Linked DNA regions of Drosophila melanogaster. The protein of the gene in region 3 interacts with the protein of the main gene of each other region in a pairwise test. Each region holds a gene or a part of one and is shown on either strand. Other genes may lie near its edges.

The links.
Region 1: the proteins of vih (region 3) and mr interact in a two-hybrid assay, tested with the Drosophila melanogaster proteins (one study listed by BioGRID).
Region 2: the proteins of vih (region 3) and lmgA interact in a two-hybrid assay, tested with the Drosophila melanogaster proteins (one study listed by BioGRID).

Annotation. Positions count from the first base shown.
Region 1 is NT_033778.4:23,970,621-23,975,908, reverse strand, and holds mr (morula), read right to left. Parts: upstream 3,479-5,288; 5' UTR 3,401-3,478; coding exon 3,338-3,400; intron 3,277-3,337; coding exon 2,760-3,276; intron 2,704-2,759; coding exon 2,465-2,703; intron 2,390-2,464; coding exon 2,209-2,389; intron 2,150-2,208; coding exon 1,448-2,149; intron 1,397-1,447; coding exon 1,133-1,396; intron 1,068-1,132; coding exon 826-1,067; intron 770-825; coding exon 569-769; 3' UTR 501-568; downstream 1-500. Other genes in the region: PPP1R15 (protein phosphatase 1 regulatory subunit 15), read left to right, coding at 1-31; CG3065 (uncharacterized protein), read right to left, coding at 4,012-5,214.
Region 2 is NT_033779.5:8,524,499-8,530,087, reverse strand, and holds lmgA (lemming A), read left to right. Parts: upstream 1-1,582; 5' UTR 1,583-1,778; coding exon 1,779-2,036; 3' UTR 2,037-2,128; coding exon of another isoform or gene 2,129-3,226; 3' UTR 3,227-5,089; downstream 5,090-5,589. Other genes in the region: lmgB (lemming B), read left to right, coding at 2,129-3,226; Acer (Angiotensin-converting enzyme-related), read right to left, coding at 5,308-5,345, 5,404-5,589.
Region 3 is NT_037436.4:12,502,028-12,506,823, forward strand, and holds vih (vihar), read left to right. Parts: upstream 1-2,264; 5' UTR 2,265-2,518; coding exon 2,519-2,625; intron 2,626-2,691; coding exon 2,692-3,121; 3' UTR 3,122-3,782; downstream 3,783-4,796. Other genes in the region: CG10681 (uncharacterized protein), read left to right, coding at 1-448; CG10646 (uncharacterized protein), read right to left, coding at 598-1,578, 1,630-1,800; CG10654 (uncharacterized protein), read right to left, coding at 3,783-4,460.

The DNA of each region.
Region 1 (5,288 bases), on a different chromosome or scaffold from region 3:
CTACCAAGCTCGATTCTTGCACGAGGACTAGCTGGTCCGCATACCTGAAGTAACTTTTGATGTACAGATTACAGTTTAGAACGATTACAGCATTAAATTCCAAGTTGTTTGCGTGTATAAAGTGATCGATTTAGCCACTGCGTTCGTGATTGATTTTATGAAGCCAAAAACTGTTTAACCTGTAAAGTATATCAAAACCACGTACACTTTTCTTCGCCTTTAGTTTTAGAGCCCTAAGAAGTTTGAATTTGTTGATAACGGGATTAGCATATACCTTAATATAACTTGAAATAAATTAAGCAATAGACGTATTTTACTGTGTGTTCTTCTTTTCACATAAGATTGCTTGCATTGTGTTCCAAATTCCCAAGCCAAACAAGTTTGGGTAAAGACTTTGTGTGTACGTGGGTGAGAGATAAGCTCTGAATAGAAACAGATAAGACGGCAGTTTGAAAAAATAGGTACGTTTAACATGGAGCAGTAAATTTCATAAATGTTATCGCGTTAATTCATTATTTATTTCATGATTCCTTCAGTCGTTTGCAACTTGGTTTTGGATCTCCGAAACTTATTTGGCCAATTGGTAAACTCCACCCGAGAATATTAGCTTGTGCTCCCTGACTTTTCGCTGGAGAAAGTGTTTCAGCTCATCCTGAGTAAACTCCACTCCGCCGCTGTGGGAGGCGAACAGCTTCAGCATCTGGTGGATTCGGTCAATTGGCATGGAGTCAAGATTCGTGAGCATTCCAACAATATAGGACCAAAAAACCTGCGGCATAATTGTATAAGAAAAAGCCGGAATTAGGAACAGTTGAAGGCACTTACTTGGAGTTCTTCTTCCCTTTGATCGCTGGCAGAAGCCATTGCGGATTCCAAATCCTCTTCGTCAGCTTCTGCCAGACTCATGTCCTCGTACTGAGACTTCTCCGATTCCTTTTCCAGCAGCGTGAATATTCCGGGTGTCGTTTCCGAGATCAATCCGTGGTTTTGCCAAAAACTCAGACGACGCCGCAGTGCAGACGCTGGAACTTTCGTAATGGAACTAAGATCCTCGATAGTCCATTCATCTGAAAAAAAAATATGACCATGCGGTTGTAAAACTGTAAAACTTGACTGCCCTGTAAACACGTACTCTTAGTTTGAAAGTGGTATATAATAACCGCCAAAATGGGGCTCACAACCATTTCCATGGTCCGGTCACCGATCTCGATTTCAATATTTACACGGCCAGTCACTGTACGCCAGTTGAGCGTACGGTTGCCCTTGTATGCCTCGTAGGCCTTGGTGTACTTCTTGAACTCATTCTCAATCTCCTCAGGAAGTTGGAGGCTTTCTTTATTGAAGGACGGCCAAAACTGAGCAGAAACAATCAGCGAGGAGATGTCGAACAACTGATCTAAAATGAGATGGTTTCGTTAAAGCATTTTGAAAATTAAAAGTAACTCACTTTCAGTTCGGTCGCCATCGCTGTGGATGTGCGCGTTAATTCGCTTGGAGTCGGTTACGTCTTTCAACATCACCTCGCAGCTGTGCAGCAGCGATTCGCCAAAGCGGATTTTCAGCAGTTCCAGATTTCGAATTTCTTTTTCGGAATTAAAATCTAACTGGGCCAGCAGTCTGTCCGCCATTAGATTGCGATACTCTGTCATAAACAACTCCTTACTGCCGTATATGTCTACAACCATCGATATAATGTCGGCCGATCTCATCTTCCGCGAGCTGTTGTACTGCATAATGCTGGCATCTATACCAAACGGATCGGGTTGCCAATTTTCCCAGTTGCTGAACTCATCGGTACCCGAGTCCTTGCATTCCTTAATTGTTTCTCCCTTGGCGAGTTCCTCGGATAAGTCCGTGGGCCCCTCTTCAGTCAACCCAGTGACTACGCGTCGCACTGTGTCGTTTCGTTTCCGCAGGTAATCTTTGATTGGAGCAGTTACCATCTCTAAGATGACTCCGGTACTATCCAGATGGCGAATAGCTTTGATGGCTGCCACGTAACCCGTTAATATGTCCATGGTGTTGACTCCAGGATGCAGAATCCTTGCCTCTAGCGAGTTCCTAAGGGATTCAGTGAGGTAGACTCGCATATCTATTTTCTCCATGCAAATCTTTAAGTCATCTATAGCCGGAATGGAATCGGGATAGTCTGTTTACAAATAAATACATGTAGTTGGGGGACTCTTGGCTGAATCTACGGGCACATACCAATTATAATGCTGAAGAACTGACCAATAACGCTTTGGGCAAACGTTTCGTACATAAAGTAAGTCAGTTTGACTTTGAAGGATTTTACAGACTCGGGAACTTCGATATCGCTTATGCTATCCTTAGACTTCCATTCCGTGAATATGTTTGTGAGCCAGGACATTATGACATCCGATAGCCACTGCAAAGGTAGGTAATAAATGAGTTACTTAAGTAGTTTATTTATGACAACAGAAGGTATTCCCATTCAACTTACAGTTTCCAGTTGCTTAAGATGACTTCTGTCGAAGATTCCCATGCATGTATCGCTGATGTGCTCCTTGATTTTAAGCTTGATGAGAGCGGTTAAAGCACTCCCAGTTAGACGGTCAATGAGGTTCATCTCGAAGAGCTTCATGTTTGTCTTGTTAACCATATCCGTCAGCCTTTGGCAGCAGCATTGCTCTGCTTCGAAGTTGCAGCCAACGCAGAGGAGCTCATCGAAAACATCAGAGTCTGAAGGGGAAAGCAAGTGAGCATGGGAACCACAGGAGTATGTATCGGATACATACCAACTGTGGTCAATGCGAGATTTGAGGCCTTGGTGAAGAGCTTAAAGTGCACCCAGTAGAAGGCCCCAACGACCACACTGAAATTGGGTGGCAGTTGAGCCAGCAAGCAGTCCCTTAAGCAGTTCTTAATGCCTTCCTCCTGCATGAGCTTCACCGTCTTTGCGGTGGGCTTTGTCTCAGCTCCAACTAGCTGGATCAGCCTGGGCTTCACCTGCATCAGGCTCTGAAAGCTGTCATGCAGCTCATTGATGGCGTCGATGAACTGGGTGAACAGTCCGTTCTTATCGGGCAGTGCTTCTATGGCCAGAGCTTGGTCGTTAATCCAGCCCTGCAATTTAGACGAGACCAAGCCGTCGTGGATGTGCTTCCAGAACTTGGGCACCAGGACATTCCGAATAGTCGACTGGATTTCCAGGTCCACAACCGCCGCGAAGGTGTCTATGCTGCCCAACACCATCAGGTGCTGGCGAACATTTTGGAATACATTCTCCTCAACCGGATCATTGGATACAGCGTTCTGTAAGAGTTTCTGAGTGCTAGCGCCAATCCCTATTACTGAACCGAAGGAATAAACCTACCGCTCCACCCAAAACCGGAAAGATTCTCAGTACATCCGCCCACAAAGCGTCAAAGTCGCACATCGCTTGTGTGTAATTATTTTAAACAGTGCAAAACATTGCTTGAAACTCTGAATCAAACGCCAATGGTGATGATAATGCTGTTATCGATAAGTCGATTCTATCAACCGAACCGATAGTCGATGAATCTTTGATTTATCAGAAATTATACATATATCTATTATTCATTCTTATAGGCCATTATTAATCATATTCCAAATTTCAAACTGGATCGAGTCCTGATCCTGATGAACTATCAGTTCCCCATCAATTAGCCCATAAATATAAATAACAGTTTTACTAAAATAAATTATATTAATAGATACGGGGAGCTTAGTAGCCAGAAAATAAGAAACAGCAAGAGTTTCAGAAATACAGATGTATGTCTTCACGTTCCGGCAAACACAAACAGTTAGAGCTAAAATTAAATTGCATACGACTTATTTACATACATACATACAAATTGAGATTTGAGAGCCGGCGCTGATCTTGCATAGGAATATAGTTAGATTGCGAATTTATTTAATTTTATTGTACTGTGTGCGTCACCCGACACACGCCCGTGTGGTAGCCAATATCGATTGGATGCGGATGCCAATGGCTAGCGACTTAAGGAGTAAGGAGTAACTATGAAACTATCGTATCTTCAAATGCGTCTGCTGATGCTTTTTCAAGTGGTCGCTCCGCACAAACCGGCGACAGCACTGCTGACAGGCGTAGGGCTTCTCCCCGGTGTGCGTTCGTATGTGTCGGTTGAGGTCGTCCTGCCGCTTGAACCGCTTCTCACACTGCCGGCAGTAGAAAGGCCGATCCTGAACGAACTGGGGCATCCCATACGTGCCGGGTCCGTCCGCCGGCGGTAGCTGAGAGAGGGTATTTACAATTTCTTCGGTCGGTTCGTATTTTACCTCGGGCTTCGCCTGGTTAAGGAAATCGGGCAACTGGCTCTGGTTGTGGCCATGGTTATCCATCTGGTGTTCAGGAGATACGATCTGGTACTTGTCGCTGTGCTCCGGCCGTTCCAGCTTAATCTTTATCGGCTTGTGGTGGATGTCGATAATGCTCACGGGCTGCTGGTGCTGGTTATGCTGCTGCTGCTGGTGGTGGTGCTTCATGCTCGGCTCCCCGCAACCAACCATGGCGGCCATGAAGTGGAAGCCCGAGTCCGACTCCGAATGAATCTGCTTCTTCGGGGGCTTGAGCCGGACTCCACCACTGCTGCTCGGTACTGTTCGCTTCGGGGTGCTGCCCTTTAGCTGGCGGTCGTGGGTAGCTAGGTGCTTGGTGAGGTGGTCGCTGCGGGAAAACTTCTTGGTGCACTGGATGCACTCGAAGGGCTTCTCGCCGGTGTGCGTCCGGAGGTGCCGGTTGAGCTCATCGGAGCGCGTGAATCCCTTGCCGCACTTGGGCTCGCTGCAGACGAAGGGCTTGATGCCCGTGTGCCAGGTGAGGTGGGACCGCAGGTGGGAGCTCTTGCCGTAGCTCTTTGTACAGTTGTCATACGGGCAGACGAACTTGCGCTTGGGATCGGAGGCGAGCGTCGTGGCCATTAGCTTCACACTGGGCATTATGCGGATCTTAGAGTTGCCGTTCCCGCCGTAGTGCGAGTCGTCCTCAGGCTCAGTCTCAACTCCGTGATGGGGCACATTCTCCACATTCGCCTCGTCGTGCTTGACGTCCTCGAAAATCGTCGAGGCCCGCAGTATCATATCGGACGCCTGCTCGTGTATGTTTGCGCCGCTCATCGTGGGAAACGCTGGTGGTGGTTTCATGGGTTCTATGGGCGTTGATGTCGTCAGCATTTGGGGTGTGGGCGTGTTTGGTATTACTTGTGACATTGTGCTTACGTTTGGGGCTCGCTAGCGCCCTATCCGGTATGTCTGGAATCGAGAGTGGAGGTACTTTACTGCCA
Region 2 (5,589 bases), on a different chromosome or scaffold from region 3:
TGGACTCGTATCTAAGGCGCTAAAGAGTTTAAAAAATCCGTCATTTCATAATTGTTTGTTTATTAGCCACATTTTATGGACGAGGCACATGACAAGGCAAGCCAATTCAAAGTGAAATAAATCGCAAATATCGATTTGAAATTTCGCATTGCAATTGCAATGAAAACTGATGTTCACAAACAAACACATCATGTTTTTTATGGATGCCTTATTGGTACACTGTATGTAAGTGATTCGCAGAATTCGAGAAAATCCCGGGCGTGACCAAAAACCGGAACACCAAGTCAAGTAGCAGAATCTCCCTGCAAGGCGCAAACGGTTTTTTCCAGAAACAGGCGGCACAAAGAGTTCAATAAACTGCAACATAAATTCTTATGCTAAATAATTGCTATCATCGAGTGGTTTTTTTTTTTGTATAGGTGGGTTGTGAGGGGTGTTTACTTGTTCTTGGAAAATCACGAGGCTCTGGCTCAGGGTCAACAACGTGTTGTATGGCGCATTATTGGGCTTATTTTTAATATTATTCTTGCCTGTATGGGTGTGTGTATTCAAGTGCGTTTTCAATTACAGGTTCTTAAACAACGCTCTGCTGTTGAACTTCACTTTTTGTGTTTTGATTTAATTTCACTCTCACAAGATCGTTCACTTCGCAGCGGCACCTTTCGATTAGTACACAACTCTAAATCAACTCCGTTTCGCAGGCACTTTCTTTTCACTCACAAGGGTTTTTTTTATTATATGCTGATCTCGTTCGCAGTTCCACAGAACCTTTGCTAAAAACTGCGTCACACTTGGACAAAACACAAAAGCAATTTTTGAGCAATAATGATCACGCTTTGCACGCGAAATTGTCGAAAAAACACAGTGGGAAAAACGGGTAAAGCTCGACGATCGATCGATCGAGCTGCGCGCACGTCTGTCGGGTTCAACAATCGTCGGCTAACTGAATGCGAATAAACCGGAGACAACAACTCCATCAGCCCCCGACAACAAAACAACACAAGGCAGCACCCCCCTAAAGCCTCGTCCAATCCGATGGAGCATGAGCATAAGCTTTCGGAAGTTGTTTCAGACACGATTCGCTCGCATTGCTGATTAAAGATCTGACCTGGGTTCCGACCTGTCATTGCCGAAAATTGTAATTGATGGCCCAGCGGCTTCGAGAACGTGGCCTTGATATTGAAAATACTACTGTTCAACTATTACTTATCCGACAAGGAATGACTTATTTTAACTATAGCAGAAAGGTTTTTAATTCACCTGATTGTTTCAAATAGTACTTTATCTATGATTTCTTATAAACAAACCAAAGTTGAATACTCCCGCCAAGGATCGATATCTTTTTAAAGTACGGTAGATGTATATATAAAATCGATAGCTCTATGAACTGCTTACAAATGCCCATGTCTATGATCAATAAATATCACTAAGAACACATCAAATGTACTTTGTTACAATATTCAATAATCAATACTATACTAATATACAATAAATAAAAATATATCGTTTACTATAACAGGTCATCCCAAGTCGCACTGCTTGTCCGACGGCTTAACTCCATCTACACAGCGTCCATCTCTAAGTCCAATCGGCCAATCGATAATCGGACCTATCGACCTATTTTCAGCAGCCTAACTAAAGAAAAAAGGCAATATTTTGCAAAAAACATTCGGAAACGGTCGAAAAACACCCGCTTCATTGGCCAAAGGAGCCGTATTCCGTGCAACGCAAAGCGGCGACAAACCAGACAATTGCCGTGTGAGACAAATGTGCGCAAAATGAAAGTGACAATCAAGTCATGGACGGGAGTTGCAACTTGGCGTTGGATAGCGAATGACGAGAACTGCGGTATCTGTCGCATGTCCTTCGAGAGCACCTGCCCGGAGTGCGCTCTGCCCGGTGACGACTGCCCGCTGGTGTGGGGTGTATGCTCTCATTGCTTCCACATGCACTGCATCGTCAAGTGGCTGAACCTGCAACCGTTGAACAAACAGTGCCCCATGTGCCGCCAGAGCTGGAAGTTCAACGTGCATTAAGAAGCCCGCGTTATAGTTCTAGTTACTAAATACCCGTGAGGATCAGGATCAGCAGTAAGAAGAAACCGTAGAGACATAGTAAGCTTTATCAAATGATGGAGAACAGCAGCAACGATGCCCAGCCGCACTTGACGGGTCTGCCGCCACTGCCAAAAAGTCTGAGCGCCGCTACGGCGGCTCCTGTGGCCATTGGCCCCCATCCCCGCACAGCCTCGCCGGCGTCCAGTGTTAACGCACTGACCGTAGCCGCCGGAGAACTATACCTGGGCCCCTCCACCTCCTCGTCGGCGGCATCACGAAATCGTAGCTACAATGGACACGGACACAGCCAGCGGCACGGTAGTCTTTCGTCCACGCAGGAGTCGCTCAGTGATCGGGAATCTGTGCACAGTCGCGCTTCCAGCACCCACAGCGCTGGGGCTGTTCACACACCCACTAACAGCTCGAGCAGCACTGGAGCCACCTCGTCGACCATCGACAACCAGTTGGCCATTCTGCGACGGGAGATGTACGGTCTGAGGCAGTTGGATCTGTCGCTGCTGTCCCAGCTGTGGGCGCTAAACGAGTCGATACAGGGATTCCGTGTGTTCCTGCAAGAGCAGGACGCACTGTCGCCGCCCTCGAGGTCCCGTACTCCATCGGATGCGAATTCCTTGAGCTCCGACGAAGAGGACGATGGCTCCTATGCGCCAGTAGCCTTGCCTAAGATGACAGATACTGCCGGAGCTGGGAGTGCGGGAGTTGTGAATTCCAGGGCCATGGCCTCGCCGGCAGCCAGCGGAGGACTGCCCACAAAACTGGCCACTGGCTCGACCACTTCCCACGCCTCAACTAGCTCCACATCAGGAGCCTCTGGCTCCTCATCCGCTGCCTCCTCGATGGGGAAGCACCAACAAGTGCAGCAGCAACAACAGCAACAGTCGCAATCGGCTAACCACTACCATCAGAGGCCAGCGCCACCACCCGCACCACCAGCTCAGCACAAGGCGCATCCACAGTTGCCGCGCATCCTGCAGCAGCGCATGAGACAGGCACCGCCACCGCCGCCACCCACAAGGCAAAAGGCGGGCGGCGGTGGTGGAGGCGGAGCGAGCACCAGCAGCAGTAACCACAGCATCAGCAGTGTCACCCAGCCGCATCCACATTCACACCAACATCCCCAACATACCCACCATTCGCGACCTGTATGACAAAACCCGTTCTTGGACTAAGCCAAGTTCAAGAACATAAGCAGATTTACATAGCAGCCGCTGCCAACACTTCGGAAAGGGTCAATTAGACGACATTTCTTCAAGAGTCAATTCAAATTCAAGTGCAGAAAGATCCCACACACACAACACTCACTCTATCAACTCAACTATCAACTCATAAAGCTTGCCATGGTCCCTCGTTCTTGATATTGAATCTCGAAACATATGAACGGTTTATAAATGTTTTTTGCAAAACGATGAAAATGTCTTTGAATGTAAGCGTACCACTTTTCACGTTTAATATTAAATAATAAACACAAAAAATTTGTATTCAATAATAATCGCTAAGTAGTAAAGGATAAGATCCTTATATGCATCTATGTATTACTCAAATTGTATAAACATAAATCTAAAATGCTTGAAATTCCGCATCGAATTCATAGATCTAGTTATATTATTTGCGTTGACTCTGAAATGTTTTGTTAGAATGCATACTATCCAACAACAAAAACTAAATCAAATTGTTCCAACTCATGTAGCACTAACCAAAACTAAACTCTTGGCCTATACATATGAATATCTGGATTGATTTTATAGCCCTGTTAAGACTTAGTTTCGTAATGGCGTATCGATTGGAAAATTATATATTACGAACATGTATCTGCATCTCAAAAGCAAAATCTAGCTGATCTTACTGTTAGTCCAATAATCCTATCATTAAAAATACAACAACAAAAAAAACTAGGCATATATATGTAAAGCTCAAGTATTGGAGCAAATCCCCCGAGCAGTTGTGCAGTGCGTTTCAGATCTATAAGTCAGTTGCATGTTCCGCGAAGCAGAAAACCATTTTAAACTAGTTTCGGTTGTATATTTTTCCAATTTGTTCAAAAATCTTACTCCGCAATCATGGATAACTGCCTTGTAAATGTGGAACGCATTGCATATAATATTTATATTCTAAATACATATACAATTTTTACCAAGTAACAGTTACATTGATGAAAATGCAGTAGATACCATCGGTATCTCCCATATCACAAGCATAAAGCGGGAGATTGCGAAATGAAAACAGATTTACATATATTACCTAATCAAAAATGATACAATTTCCAATATTTATTGTTAGTTCTTAGATTGTTTTATTTCTCAAAACAAATTCCTTATAATCTACTAAAATTAAATCACCCTATGAAGTTAAACGATTGGAATTAAAATCCACACGATCATATTTGACTGTTCTTTATTTCGTTATCATATACACACTCCTCCAACAGAGACTACAAATCAAAATGTGCGGAAATTTGATACCAACCAGATCACAAAAGCATCGATATACAAGCAGAAATCATAAATATACTGCAGCACAAGTCGCAAAATGTAATCACTGATCAAGCTTTGAATATCTCGGCTGGAATATGACCTATAAGGATTTAATGTAAGGTTAACCAGTTAACAAATACATTTTCTTGAAAGCAATAGCTTATCATTTTCGATGGTCAGAAAATTTTAGAAGTCATGACTTGATTTCCGTTTTAGCAAGACCTTTAGAACTGTTTGGTAACCTATAATTTTTTATAGTGTATTGTATTCTATACTTTTTGTGTTGTATACAACAACAGCTTCCATTAAAGATCATATTTTATTCGAGTTATTCAAAGTAGCATACGGTTAGAAGCATCAAATAAATTTGAGATGAACTTTTGAGCGCTTTTGCTGTGTACAAAAAGGCAAGCAAGATATCGAAAATTTACACTGACCGAAACATATACAACTTTGTGGTTGAGATAGAAACACAATTCACGAAAGGCTATAATTTATACAATTTTGTTTATGACGAAAGTTGGTGGGTGAGATATCGTTAAAAAGTGTATTATGTAATGGCAATTTATTAATAAAACGAAACGAAACGATACGAATGAATCGATACAATAAATATCAATTTAAATATCAATGCGCATATGCTGTGAATTAATTATCGTTCTTATCAAGTTTATTTTGTTTGTTCCTAATGACAGACTAAACCAATATATTTGTTTTCGGGTTCTAATAACCTCAAGTCAAGTTTGGGATGGCTCAGTCTAGGTGCTAAACGTTCCACAGCAATCAGATGGGATTTCTGCAAAGGGATACAGTAAATTATAGTTAGCAGTTACTGTTTAAATTCAATTACTCACTGTCTGTTGGTCCCCAGCCCAATGGCACACCCAAGCGGCTATTTTCCTGCTTAAGCCACTGGTAGAGCGGTTCAAAGTACTCCAGCAGAGCGGCTGGGTCCATTTCCGTTTCGCCTGTAAACTCCTCCAACACCTCCTTCCAATGGCGTGAGTTGCCCTTTGAGAGGAACTGGCTCAGTGATCGTC
Region 3 (4,796 bases):
CGAGATGCTGCTCAACTGCAATGCCTTATCGCAGAGTCGTTTGAAAAGTGCCAGCGAGGATTTCAAAAGACACGTGAAATGCCTGAGCGAAATGAAGAAGGATCTGGATTACATATTCCGCAAGATACGGATCATCAAGCAGAAGCTACAGTCGCAGTTTCCCGCCATTTACGCCGAAGTTCAGCCGCAGCGTAGCAGTTTGGCTGAGGAAGCCGAGGATGATACGGAAGCCCAGGCTAAAAAGACTGCAGAAACACCTGCTCCTGCTGCCGCAAAACCTGTCCTATCCACCAAGAAAAGTGCCGCCACCATAGAGTACGTGCAGATGGAGGAGGCAGTGGACAATGGCACTGTGGAGATCGAAAACGAGCTGATCAAGCGAGTTTGTTCCGTGGAAACTGCCAATCCCAATGATTCCTCCGACTGCACATCCGAGGATACAGGTTAAGCCTAATTAGCTTTAGTCCCTCGATATATTTATCTTCATATAATAACTTATTGGTTTAATATTTGTATAACCTGCTACTACATACAAGGACACAATTCGTTTAGTTAGATTTAAATGAAATATGCGTAATAATTTAAGAAACTAATGGCTTAAAATATAATCTGGTACTTGTACTGCTTGGGCACCTTTGAGATTATGACGCGACCATCGTAGCTGAGCGAAGCAAAGATCCACGGATCCACATTGCTCCACTCCGCGCAGTAAACGGAGTCCTCGTGCTGATCGAAGGTCTGCAGCAGACCATCTGGCAAGAGTTTGTGCCTCTCCTCGGCATCGGCACCACTGAAGTTGGACTCATCTAGTCCAGCCTGAACCTGCGTCTCCGAACTAACCGATCCCGCACACGTGAGCAGCACCTTGCAGTCACTGGAGCTGGAGAGGATCAGTTGGTCGTGGAATGTGTTGAAGCGAACGCACCAGACCCAATGCGAATGATCGGAGCGCTCGAAAACGGGAGCCTTGGGCATGCGACAGTCCCAGATCCTCAAGTAGCCATCGTCACCGCCGGTGACCAAATGGCACTGCTTGTTGGGATTGCAGTCCAGGTCACGGACCATTTGACCATGCGCATCGTTGATGCTCCAGGCACAATGCTGTGTATCCCGCACATCGTAGGCACTTAGATTGCCATCCTGGAGGGTGAGAAACTGGTGGCCCTGATGATGATGCGACCACTTGCCGCTGGTGAAATGCTGTGTGTGCTTTGCAGATCCACTGGATGAACCACTGGCCGGCACCTCGGCCACCACGCGAGTAGAGGACTCGGCCCGCTGCATCACAGCCACCTTGTTGTCCACCACACAGGCGAGTGTGTCCTGGTTGGGATGGAATTCGATGGTCTTCACACGTTCGCCCAGTGCTTCGGTATCCAGGACCTCAACCTGCTCCCACGGCAGGTACTCTGACTTCAGCTGCTCCGGATCGGGATTGAGATTCTCGGGCAGCGTAAACAGAGCCGCTTTGGTCAGCACTTGTGCTCCCTTTTGTACATTGTAGACGGAGGCCAGCAGGCGAGGATTACGCGGACAACTATTTAGTTTCCAAACTTCACCCAGGGCGTGCTCAAAGACCTGTTCAAAGTTGTATGTTTAGCTCATACTTTGATCATCCCAGATATTCACCTTTGATTGCACGGATCCCTGCTCCTCCTCGTACTGGATTAAGTGAACCTGATTGGTGGGCTTCAAGGAGTTGGTGGCTATGAAGAAGCACACATCGTTGCTCTCTCCGTACTGAGGTGTTAAAGCCCGCGCCTGCAGTTCGAGTCCGTAGATTAAGCTATTTTCATCCATTTTCCACGATTTACTCAATGTTTTGATTTCGCTGGATATCTAGGTACGCAACTTACGTACACTAAACGGCGTACCTAAAAGTGTTGGTAAGCATTTATCACAAGGTGGCAGCCCTCGATCATATTACAAAACAATATATAATTTATTTTAATAAAATTAAAATATTTACATATATAAAGAGGCTTAAATATATGTGATTTAATATATTAAGCTCAAAATATAAAATAAATAATATTGGTATTCAAAATCCATTGATATAATTTGGTTACACTTAACGTTATGCCTTTTAAACGTGTAATAATTATACATACTTGGAATAGTAAGCTAATTATAGTATTAAGCTTAATACGTTTATAATCTTTACTTACCTTTGAAACATTTTCCGTTATCTCTCGGCCAGTGTGACCGTTCGACCACGCCAAGAGAGCGTATCGACTCCCCCCAAAAATAAATGAAATACAACCCTGTGCCCAAACACAGTTTCTTCTCGTTCTCCTTCCATTTTGTTTTCACACAAAAGTGAAAAAAAAAATATCTGAAAAAGCAACAGACGCGTATTCCGACCGATCAAACTAAATTTCCACTATACAGTACATATAATCACAATTGAGAATCGAAAACCCGACCGCCACGAAGCGCGCTAAATTACACGCACATACTGAAAGCCAAACAGCGGATAGCACTAGCATCCTACATATATAGACGTAGATATATAGTCATGGCGCAGAATATCAGCCCCGAGCAAAGTGGTGGAGCAGGCGGCGGCGGCAGCAAGCACAGCGATGACTCCATGCCCGTGAAAGACAATCACGCCGTGAGCAAAAGGTGAGTAGCACATGGTGCAGCCTAGATAATCCGCCAATATACACACACACTCACACTCACCCACAGACTGCACAAGGAACTGATGAACCTGATGATGGCCAACGAGAGGGGCATCTCAGCGTTTCCGGACGGCGAGAACATCTTCAAGTGGGTGGGCACCATAGCGGGTCCACGGAACACGGTGTATTCGGGGCAAACGTATCGTTTGTCACTGGATTTTCCCAATTCCTATCCGTATGCAGCACCCGTGGTGAAGTTCCTGACGTCCTGCTTCCATCCCAATGTTGATCTGCAGGGCGCCATCTGTTTGGACATACTGAAGGACAAATGGTCGGCCCTGTACGATGTGCGCACCATTCTGCTGTCCATACAATCCCTGCTGGGCGAACCGAACAACGAGAGTCCACTGAATGCGCAGGCCGCGATGATGTGGAATGACCAAAAGGAGTACAAAAAATATCTAGACGCCTTCTACGAGAAGCACAAGGACACCTAGAGTTTGGCAATTCGTTGTCATATATCCTATGCTCATATTGCGGCGTATTTATTTACATATAGTGCAAGCAACTCCACTCATCCGAAGACCTACTGCCAACCAACAAACCAATCATCAATCACCACCGTAACACAGTACCATCAGTTAAGTGGATCACCAGATCAATTTCAACAACGTTCAATGCTGATAGTTCATTTGGCAAAAGACCCCGTGCGTTTCTTATGTAATTGTCGATCGATTGACGGATAATCTGGTTTTTATTCTCATTTCTTTCCTCCTCCCTACAAATTAATGATAAATGAATGTATTGGTAATGTAATTTTAAAACTGTCATCCGTTCTTTAAGCTTAAGGATAAATTTTAGTTAATTGTTTTATATACGCATGATTACTTTTTTGAGAACTACTGCGAGTGCGCGCCATCGCCATCGCCATTTTTTTGTACTGATGATTTTTAAGCGACTATGCTGCTGCGCCGGCCATTATGTGAATGTTAGCTAATTTTAGGGCAGCCTCATCGATTCGTCAACCATTCGCGTCGTCTTAGTATCTCCAATTATGCGGCATTCTCCCACAATACTGGCATAACAAAATTCCAAGTAATTCGAATCATTGTAACAGTTGTGTTAGCTTGATGTTATTGAAACCACAAATAAAACGAATTATTGAACTACATCCATCGCTTTGTGTTTCCTCCCGTGAGCGTTGAGCTCCACGCTGTTCTGGAAAATGCGTCCGCATTTTCTGCATCTGAGCAGCAGATTCTTATTGCCGTGCTTGCGCAGCAGATGATCCACCATGTTCTCCTTGGTGTAGAATCTGCGATCGCAGCATTCGCAGCAGTATCTCCGACCCTCAACGCTACCATGGACCATCTTGTGGCGCGTTAGATGTGCCTTTCGCGCAAAGCACTTGCCACACTCCTCACAAATGTGCCGCGCATCCGGGGACTCTGACTCGTGATACCTTTCGTGCGTCCTTCTCATGTGATATTTGAGACTTCGGTTCGCTGTGTACACCTTGTTGCAGCTCGGACAGGCATAGATGATCCGCGCAGCGTCGGCATTGTTATGCATCTGCCGCAGGTGCGACTCCAGCAGATTGGCCCGGGCATAGCTCTTGGCACAATGGACGCAGGTATACGGTCTCAGACCCTCATGCTGCTGCATATGGGCCTCCAGCAGCGACGGTTTGTAGAAGCCACGGTGGCAAATTCGGCACTCGAGGGTGTGTCGCACTCCTCGTCGTTTTCTGGCACCCAGCAACTTGCTAGAAATGGATAGCTTCTCCTGGCCCAGATCCTGTTTGGCTGACTCGTCCTCTATTACGTAGACTTCCTCCTGGAAAATTTAGGGTATTATATATTTAATTACCATAGCAAACTGAATGGTGGTGGTTTTTTTTTTTTTTTGTGGGAATTCTGTACATATCTATTATGAAGGAATTTTTTATGTAAAAAGGGTCTAAGCATATAAAAACAAACTGCTTTTGGTTGAGTTAAGTAATTTGTAGTAAGGGTAGGAATTACATTATGTTTACTCATTACTTTAAAGTGGAAATTTTTCCTTAATTTGCTATTAAGATTATCTTATCGCTCGACTTAGAAGATGATAAAATGAAAGTAATATTTTGTGAACCGAACTTTTGGCGGTCACTTATCTGTTTAGTTTAGTTTT